Linked DNA regions of Neurospora crassa OR74A. The protein of the gene in region 1 binds, or shares a complex with, the protein of each later gene. Each region holds a gene or a part of one and is shown on either strand. Other genes may lie near its edges. The genes, in order: ace-4 and NCU00050. A codon is read from its position in the direction of its gene.

The links.
Region 2: the proteins of ace-4 (region 1) and NCU00050 are in contact, whole or in part, in a cryo-EM structure (PDB 8OHS), measured with the Neurospora crassa proteins. Residues at the interface, in XP_962786.1 of Neurospora crassa: Lys263 (codon at 3,070), Lys266 (codon at 3,079), Leu267 (codon at 3,082), Gln269 (codon at 3,088), Ala270 (codon at 3,091), Pro453 (codon at 3,640), Leu454 (codon at 3,643); in XP_956161.2 of Neurospora crassa: Leu323 (codon at 2,714), Gln326 (codon at 2,723), Val327 (codon at 2,726), Leu328 (codon at 2,729), Lys332 (codon at 2,741).

The regions. Positions count from the first base shown.
Region 1 is NC_026504.1:431,260-435,637, forward strand, and holds ace-4 (pyruvate dehydrogenase complex), read left to right. Parts: upstream 1-1,466; 5' UTR 1,467-1,978; coding exon 1,979-2,290; intron 2,291-2,595; coding exon 2,596-3,660; 3' UTR 3,661-4,258; downstream 4,259-4,378. UniProt on the Saccharomyces cerevisiae protein: The pyruvate dehydrogenase complex catalyzes the overall conversion of pyruvate to acetyl-CoA and CO(2).
Region 2 is NC_026503.1:2,412,649-2,417,025, reverse strand, and holds NCU00050 (pyruvate dehydrogenase X component), read left to right. Parts: upstream 1-1,299; 5' UTR 1,300-1,643; coding exon 1,644-1,704; intron 1,705-1,808; coding exon 1,809-3,028; 3' UTR 3,029-3,815; downstream 3,816-4,377. Other genes in the region: NCU00051 (hypothetical protein), read right to left, coding at 1-188. UniProt on the Saccharomyces cerevisiae protein: Required for anchoring dihydrolipoamide dehydrogenase (E3) to the dihydrolipoamide transacetylase (E2) core of the pyruvate dehydrogenase complexes of eukaryotes. This specific binding is essential for a functional PDH complex.

The DNA.
Region 1 (4,378 bases):
GATTGCGACAACTCAGCGGCGCGCGGCCTGTGACTGCTGACTTGCCGACCGAAACAGTGGAAGTTGACAGCAAGCCTTCAATTGAAGAGTGGGTCCATCAAGACCCTGATGGCTGCAGTGAGTGTCGCGGGCACGGACCATTCCCGACCCTTCCACTTCCCTTCCTCTTCCATCAGGTACCTACACGTACCTACGTACCTCTCACTTTATCTCCGTACGTATCAATCTATCTGCCAGCCGCTTTGCCTGCCGGAACTGCAGCCGTGGATACTCTTTTTGACGCATGGGTCAGTAATTGGTCTGTTCATTGGTAGCCCGCCGCCGGCGTCAGCTTTTGAAGAATCCGATGATAGCCATTCAATCCCGTCTTCCATTGTAGATATGGATCCCATCTCTTTTGCGTATCAGTTGTCTTTGGACATATTGGACACCGGTGATCCATGACACGGCGTATTTCACATCCATCGGAGGGAAGCCAAACTGTAACTTGTGTTACTACCATAGGCTTGGAGTCTTGATGGTATGAATACCTCGTGGGAAGTTTAATCAATAACCAAGTCGTGTGCCTTTTCAGCTTCTACAACACGATCTCAGGGCAACTCGGATACGAAGCTCTTCAGAGGTTGGGAATATGACTGATGACGAGAGACCGTTGTTAGCTGCTCCTGATTGCTTGTACATACGAAAACTGAAATGTCATCACCAGTCCAATTTTGTCATTATATGCCATTCTGCAGCATCTCTCATGGATCGGGTCCCTTAGTTTGACATCACTGACACTGCAGAGTCCAATCCTCTTGGAGTTGACGGTTTCCATCGCAATCAAATCCTCCGATCGGCCCGCAGAACGTAATCCGTACCTTAGCGCGAACTGTTATGGATCCGTGCAGCTGCCAGTCCGATGTCCCTGTCAGCACTTCATCTCTCTCGAGGTTGTTCATCGGAGAACTGTTGAAGTCCGCATCTCACTTTGGTCCATAAGGTTACTTGATATTCAGGTCTTCATAACTCGCAAATACAGATAGCACCTCCATGCGCGCTGCTCATACATATAGATATTCAAACAAGATATCACTGCTCCAAAGCTAGGTTAGCTTGACAATTCCAGTTCGTGATTGCAACCTCTCTTATCAAGTAATCAATCATCCATCTGCCCCCATTAGGCTTAGCGTCATTTACTCCCCGTTGCGCGACCGGGGGATTCTCAAAGCTTGGCCTCCTGCTGTCTTTGGGCACCGGGCAGCTGCGAGGCCGTGCTAGCCCTGAAATAGCCTGGCCTTGGCTCGGCGGGGGCTCTGCTTACGCTGGAACTGCTGGGGGGAGCTTCCCCCAACTGTTGGGAGAAATCGCAGGGGGGCAGAGAGCAAGGAGCTGAGGGGACACAAGGCGGGCAGTGAGTGTGGTGAGTGTGGTTGGTGACGGGAAGTGAGAAAGTGTGATGCCACCGCCGCAGTGGAGAGAGAGGGAAAAAAAAAAAAAAAAAAAAAGTTCACGAGTGTCGCCGATTGAAGTCCGGCTCCGTATCCCGCCGCTGCCCGCTGTCATCTTCCTGTTGTGCTCTCCACGACGAATCCGTCATTCAGGTCGAATCTCATCTCGCGCAGTCTTCCATCTTTCCAAACCTGCAATCTTCCCGTTCTTTTTCCACTCTTTTTCCGCATCAACCTGACTCGCGCAGTCGACGACTTACACCTCCAGGCTTGGCCCTACTGCGAATCCGCGTCCATCAATCAGACATCCCGGCCTCCCTCCGCACAAGCCAGCTTCTCCAACCCGCGTCCCTCTGCCCCCCTCCCCCCCGGTCGGCCTTTCCCCTCTCCAAGGTCCTGCCGCCGCTGCCACTGCTGCTGAGTGCTGCTCCTCCAGCTTGGTTTGGAATCCCCACATAAACATTCCATACTAGCAAATTGAACACAACCTCCTCTCTCAAAAAAAACACCACCACAACCACCCAACCTTCACATCACACCCTCTCACCATGATCGTCCCCGTCCTCTCAAGGCAGGCTCTCCGCCATGCCAGCGTCGCCCGTGTCGCCCTCCCCAGCCTCACAAGATGGTACGCCTCGTACCCCCCTCACACCGTCGTCAAGATGCCCGCCCTCTCGCCCACCATGACCTCGGGCGGTATTGGCGCATGGCAGAAGAAGCCCGGTGACAAGATCGAGCCCGGTGAGGTGCTCGTCGAGATCGAGACCGACAAGGCCCAGATGGACTTTGAGTTCCAGGAGGAGGGTGTCCTCGCCAAGATCCTCAAGGACTCGGGCGAGAAGGACGTCGCCGTTGGCAACGTAAGTACCTACCTACACTACCTGTCGAGCCACGAGTCATCATACCTGCCAAACACTCCAGCCCTACCTACTCCAACTCCATGACTCCATGCACATCTCCTCCCATCCCGACCCTCTTCCCCACTCGACCCTGAATCCACTCTTCTTCCTTTATGCCTCGTGCGCGCCTCGTGCCCTGTGTCTCGCCTGTCGGGTGATATGTCATGGTGCCGTTGAGCGTCTACACGCCCCGCGTCGCCTTAGCTTGTGCGCGCCTAATGTAGACAGACGACCCATGCTGACCATGCTTCTTCCTCCTTCTCTAGCCCATTGCCATTCTCGTCGAGGAGGGCACCGACGTCAACGCCTTCAAGGACTTCACCCTCAAGGATGCCGGCGGCGAGACCTCCCCCGCTGTCCCCAAGGATGAGCCCAAGAACGAGAGCACCGCCAGCGCTCCGACCCCCGCTCCTACTCCCGCTCCCGAGCCCGAGAACACTAGCTTCACCGGCCGCTTCCAGACTGCCCTCGAGCGCGAGCCCAACGCTCTCCCCGCTGCCAAGAGACTCGCTCGCGAGAAGGGCATCGACCTGCGCAACGTCAAGGGCTCTGGTCCCGGTGGCAAGATCACTGAGGAGGATGTCAAGAAGGCTCTTGCTAGCGCTCCCGCTGCCGGTGCCGCCGCCGCTGCCTACACTGATGTCCCCATCTCTGGCATGCGCAAGACTATTGCCGCCCGCTTGAAGGAGTCTGTCACGGAGAACCCCCACTTCTTCGTTTCCACCAACCTCTCCGTCAGCAAGCTTCTCAAGCTCCGCCAGGCGCTCAACAGCTCTGCTGATGGCCGCTACAAGCTTTCGGTCAACGACTTCCTCATCAAGGCCATGGGTATTGCTTCCAAGCGCGTCCCTACCGTCAACAGCTCGTGGCGCGACGGTGTCATCCGCCAGTTCGAGACCGTCGACGTTTCCGTTGCCGTCGCCACCCCCAACGGCCTCATCACCCCCATTGTCAAGGGTGTCGAGGGCAAGGGTCTCGAGAGCATCTCGGCCGCCGTCAAGGAGCTCGCCAAGAAGGCCCGCGACGGCAAGCTCAAGCCCGAGGAGTACCAGGGTGGCAGCATCTCCATCTCCAACATGGGCATGAACCCCGCCGTCCAGAGCTTCACCGCCATCATCAACCCTCCCCAGGCCGCCATCCTTGCCGTTGGCGCCCCCCAGAAGGTTGCCGTCCCCGTTGAGAACGAGGATGGCACCACCGGTGTCTCTTGGGACGAGCAGATCATCGTCACTGCCAGCTTTGACCACAAGGTTGTCGATGGTGCTGTCGGTGCCGAGTGGATCCGCGAGTTGAAGAAGGTCATTGAGAACCCTCTCGAGCTCCTCCTTTAAACGCGAATAGCACTCTGTTTTGGATGACGTTCAGTGGAGTTATACGGATCGAGCGACTGCAAACTAGATAGCAGTCACTTGGCCCCAAGTTCACGGCAGGCCGGCGCATGAGATTTTATAGAAATGGGCAGGCATTGGAAGGATGGATGAATGGATGGGAGGAAGAGAGGTGATGGAATGACAATGTCAGTCAGTTGGTTGACAAAAAAGCGAGCTGATGCTACAAAAGCTTTTGGGAGGTTCCATTCAGTGTCATGTTTGTGTTCTCTCTCAACCACCATATGTATAATGATTCGATCCCACTTTTTATAAGCAAAAACTTGAGCATGAGGTGTGCGGGAAATACAGGAAATCTTTGTTTCTTTTTCGTTTGTTAGAGTTGAGTTCAGCCCCGGCATCGGTTAGGCAACTTGAGGACTTTTGGATACAGGATTTGGGAATGGCACCCCAATCTGTTTGTCCATTTCTAGCCAAATATGTGGTCGAAGCTGCCATGTTTTGGCAAACCTGCTGCTTGGCTGAGGATACCAATTTTAATTTTGGATATCAGTATTTGGACAGATTCTGCTTTGGCAAAGCGAGGAAAGGTCCTGACCAGGGGGCATCATAAGTGTGATGCCAAGATAATGGGCGGCGGCCGCTGGTGTTGATGAACAACGAGGTGTCAGACTGTCAACTTCCAGACCGACCGCGGCAGACGGCACCAGTTGACTTTCTG
Region 2 (4,377 bases), on another chromosome or scaffold:
GCTACCTTCTTAGCCTTGGAGGCAAAGAAGCGTGCCGTTTGGGCGGTGCGGAAGCCGGAGCCGGAACCGGAACCGAAGACCAGGACGAAACGTGTTACCGAAGCTTGAGATGCAGTCCTGGCACATGGCGCCGTGCGGTGTGCAAGCAGGACGAACTGGCTGCTGAGCCTACTGGAAATGGAAGCCATGGTGCTGTGTTGGATGACGGGCGGTAGTTCTGTACGGCGCCGGGGTAGCTGCCGGGGGACGGAGATCGGCAACGGAGTTTATGTGGATTTGAGGGCGAGCGGCTCCGGTCCGGGTCCTTGTCAGTTGACGGCGGGGAGGGGAGGGAAACTGGATCACGGTGCGGCCCGGCCACCTGCTGCCGTTTCGTTGCGTTTCGGGGCTTGTACGTACACTACAAAACCGTTCGTCAGGTTATCTTCGGACCCGGCCCCGCTCCCAGGTCTCGAATATTTTAGCGGATTCCCCTCAGGAACTCGGTCCGCAATGGAGCTCCGCTGGTGGGGACCGGTTCTTGGCTGCAGGGGAGAATTTGGAGGCCGAAGACGGGGGGGACGGTGAATGGGGGCATTAGAAAATATGGGTCTGATCACGTGCCAAGTCGCTTTTGGTACCTTCTCCATACCAGCTTGTAATTACGTCCGCGAACAGCCGTCAATACCCGACTTCTTTGCAAATTACCAATTAGTATTAGGGTTAGTTAGGGTTAGTTAGGGTTAGTTAGGGTTAGTTAGGGTTAGTTAGGGTTAGTTAGGGTTAGTTAGGGTTAGGGTTAGCTCCGGGGGTGCAGGGGGCCGGTGAGAGGCCCCCGCATGTGAATGTGAATCGTTAATATTGACATATGTCAACCATATGCCGGCCATATGTTCTGTAATTACGGTAATTATACGGGTGACTTTTGATACCTTCGGCTTAAGGAAAGTGGAGTATGCACGGACCAGTCTAATGCCCCTAATCACCATGCCCGAAGACGGGCTGACGGGGGAGGACATGGATGTCCCCAATCCTTGCTGACTCTACACTACAGTAGCGCGAGGATGATGACAACCCCGGGCAACTTCCATTGAAATTTGGCTCCAGTTTTGACTGTAGCGCGCGTCCTGCGCAGAGACAGCTGCTCGGGTGCTGCACGCCAGTGATGTGTGGTGAAGACGTCGCCCAAAAAAAAAAAAAAAAAAAAAAAAGAGAGGTTCGTTGCCCAAAGAGGTTTGGGGACATGGGGCGGTCGCGGGGGTTCATCGGAGGATTTGGAGGGTGGTCCAAGCTTCCCACGGTCGTTTCCCCAACATGTCGCTCATCGACCCTCATCAGCATCCACAAGCTGGCGACAGCTTTTTCTGGGTTGGTTCCCGTCCGTTTTCTGTCGCCGCCGGGTCCGCAGCCAGACTTCTTGACAGGAAGACAAAAAGATCCACTGCCCGCTGCCCATCCCGTCGACCTCGCGGTGGAATTTAGCATTGAACCTGACTCGTTTGACATACGTCAAGCATAAGGCTCAATTGGAGATCCCCAGCAAGCAGCAACCACGAACCCCATTCTCGATTTCCTTGCTGGAAACCACCATAGCCCTATCGCGATATCCACGTTGACCAGGCATTTCACGTCTTCGTTGCGACAACACCACATAATCATCCGCCATGGCTTCGCTAACAGCAGCTTGTCGCATCTCTGCCAGAATGGCAGGGCGCTCCGTCAGAGGTCGGTTCTCTCGGCTCCCGTCACCTGCCCGTCAACATGATGCCCGCTTTAGGTGCCTAGAAGGTCATCACTTGCTGACTTGGAGCAACATGCCATGTAAACAGGTTTCCGTACCTCTGCCGCCGCTCTCGCCGCCCAAAACTTTACCATGCCCGCTCTGTCGCCGACAATGACGGAGGGCAATATCGCGACCTGGAGGGTGAAGGAGGGCGACAAGTTCTCTGCCGGTGACGTGTTGTTGGAAATCGAGACCGACAAGGCCACTATGGACGTTGAGGCGCAGGATGACGGTGTCATGGTCAAGATCATGAAGAACGATGGCGCCAAGGGTGTTGCTGTCGGCGCCCGGATAGCTGTTATTGCGGAGGAAGGAGATGACATTAGCTCTCTCGAGATCCCAGCCGACGCAGCCCCACAGTCCAAGCCAGCCGAGTCAGCACCCTCGGCACCTCCCCCACCGACCACCGCGGACCAGTCTAACGTTGCCGTCCCCGAATCCGCTCCTCAGAATGCTTCGTCCAAGTCGGCTCCCAAGCCTCCGAAGAGGCAATACCCCCACTATCCTTCCGTCGCCCATCTCCTCAAGGTCAACGGCATTGACGCCGCTGCCGTTAAGGATATCACCCCAACCGGCCCCGGCGGCCGTCTGCTCAAGGGTGACGTTCTTGCTTACCTTGGTAAGATTAACGCCCAGACGCCGTCCACCGTCTCCGAGAGGTTCGAGAAGCAGTCGCACCTCGACCTTAGCAACATCAAGGTTGCCAAGAGCACCGAGGCTGTCAAGGCCACTACCGAGAAGGCTCAGTCCAAGAAGCTGGATGCTCCCGCTCCTCCTCCCGTAGCTGTTGTCACCGCGCCTATTTCTCTGTCCGCCGCCATCGATGTTCAGAACAAGCTTCACAAAACCATCGGCGTCTTCCTCCCTCTTTCAACCTTCATTACCCGTGCCACCGAGATCGCCAACCAGAAGCTACCCCTTCCCGCAAACTACCAGCCTACTGCCGATGAGCTCTTCAACCAGGTTCTCGGTCTTGACAAGGTCACTCGCAAGGAATCTCGCGGCTCCTATACTCCCACGTTCGGCTCCTTCGTGGCCCCTCAGCGGGCAGCTCGCAAGGCTGATATCATCGATATTCTCGCCGCTCCCTCCACGCGCGTTGCTGCTTCTGCTCAGAGCAAGTCCGCCGCCCCCGGATTGACCACTTCTGGACCCAACGTCTTCAGCCTTCAGGTACCCAAGTCGGAAGAGAAGAGGGCCCAGGCCTTCCTTCAGAAGATGAAGCTTGTTTTGGAACAGGAGCCTGACAAGCTTGTACGTGCCTAAAAAAAACTTAATGATCTGTTCATTCTTTTTCATCCTGCGCTCCCTCAATTGCCTTTTATAGAGAGGGAATAAAATGCACATAATGCACATGGGGTTTACTTGCTTGACATATGTTGGTATTGGATTGTATGGAGTAACTTGTTAGCACTAGACTTCCACTTTTATGGCTTCATGATCTAGGTTCTCTACTCTTAATGTTCGGGAGGACAACATGCGCTTATGTGCGGACATCCTGGGCATTTTTTAGTCGCGTTTCAACCGCTCGAATAACCGAGACATGATTGCGTTATGGTTGGCGTGCCTTTAGCCCATGAGCTCTGTGCTCGACGGTAAAGTTCTCCGCTCGTATGGAGGGATTTGCCAGGCCATGTTTCGGTCATTTGATCAGCTCGTACGTCCAACCGCCATGCAGCTCCTGTTCATGAGCAGGTACACTGTGACCTGATCTTCACAGGTCATCCGTCAAAAACTCGAGGTACGGGAGGAAAATGATTCAGTTCGAACTCGATGTTGATCAACATCATAAGCCAGGCCTCTGTCACACAGCGGTAAGGTATATTGTATCTTGGGCTATAAGTTTTTCTGGCCGCCAAGTACACTGGAAGACTTCATGGCACATAAGTGATAGACCTCCGTAGAAGAAAGAACCAGCTTTTTTAATCATTTCTCTCAAGGTCTGCCACTAGAGCCTTCTGGAGGAGGCTGAGATTGAACCACACTATGTGCATATAGTGTAGGCCTCATCTCGTTCGAGACCATCCATCAACTCATCATGTATTCAAAATAGAGACACTTGACAGATTAATTCTTTCCCACAAAAGACACTCGAGCCTCGAATTATCTGAACTTACTATCTCAATACGGTAGAGGTGTCCATACCACCAGGACCTTCGTAAAGAGCCATAAAGAGCCTTACTGGATGAATGGTAATGGATCCTGTTTGAAACCACATTGGGGCACTCAGTCCGAAAACACCTGCGGCGTGTACCAAAAGCATTCGTACCCCTAGGGGAGATTGAACGCTAAAGCCATTTCCTGGTATAAGCCGAGTGAACATTTCCCACCCCACGATGAATTCCCAATGATTGCTATATAGGCCCACCACGTCTACTACACCTATCATCACATGGTCTGGTCCGCAATCACATATCCCAATACATCCACTCGTCTCATATGAGGTTATACTCATGCCTCCTACATCTCCAATCACACCCCCGCTTTTACTTCTACCTCCTCGCCTCTCTTTTTCCCATATACCCATCTTGTCCAATCAAGCACTGACCATATCGTTGTTTAATATTCCAAGACCAATTTACCGACGTCTAGTCTCCAGGCTATCTTCGGGTCGG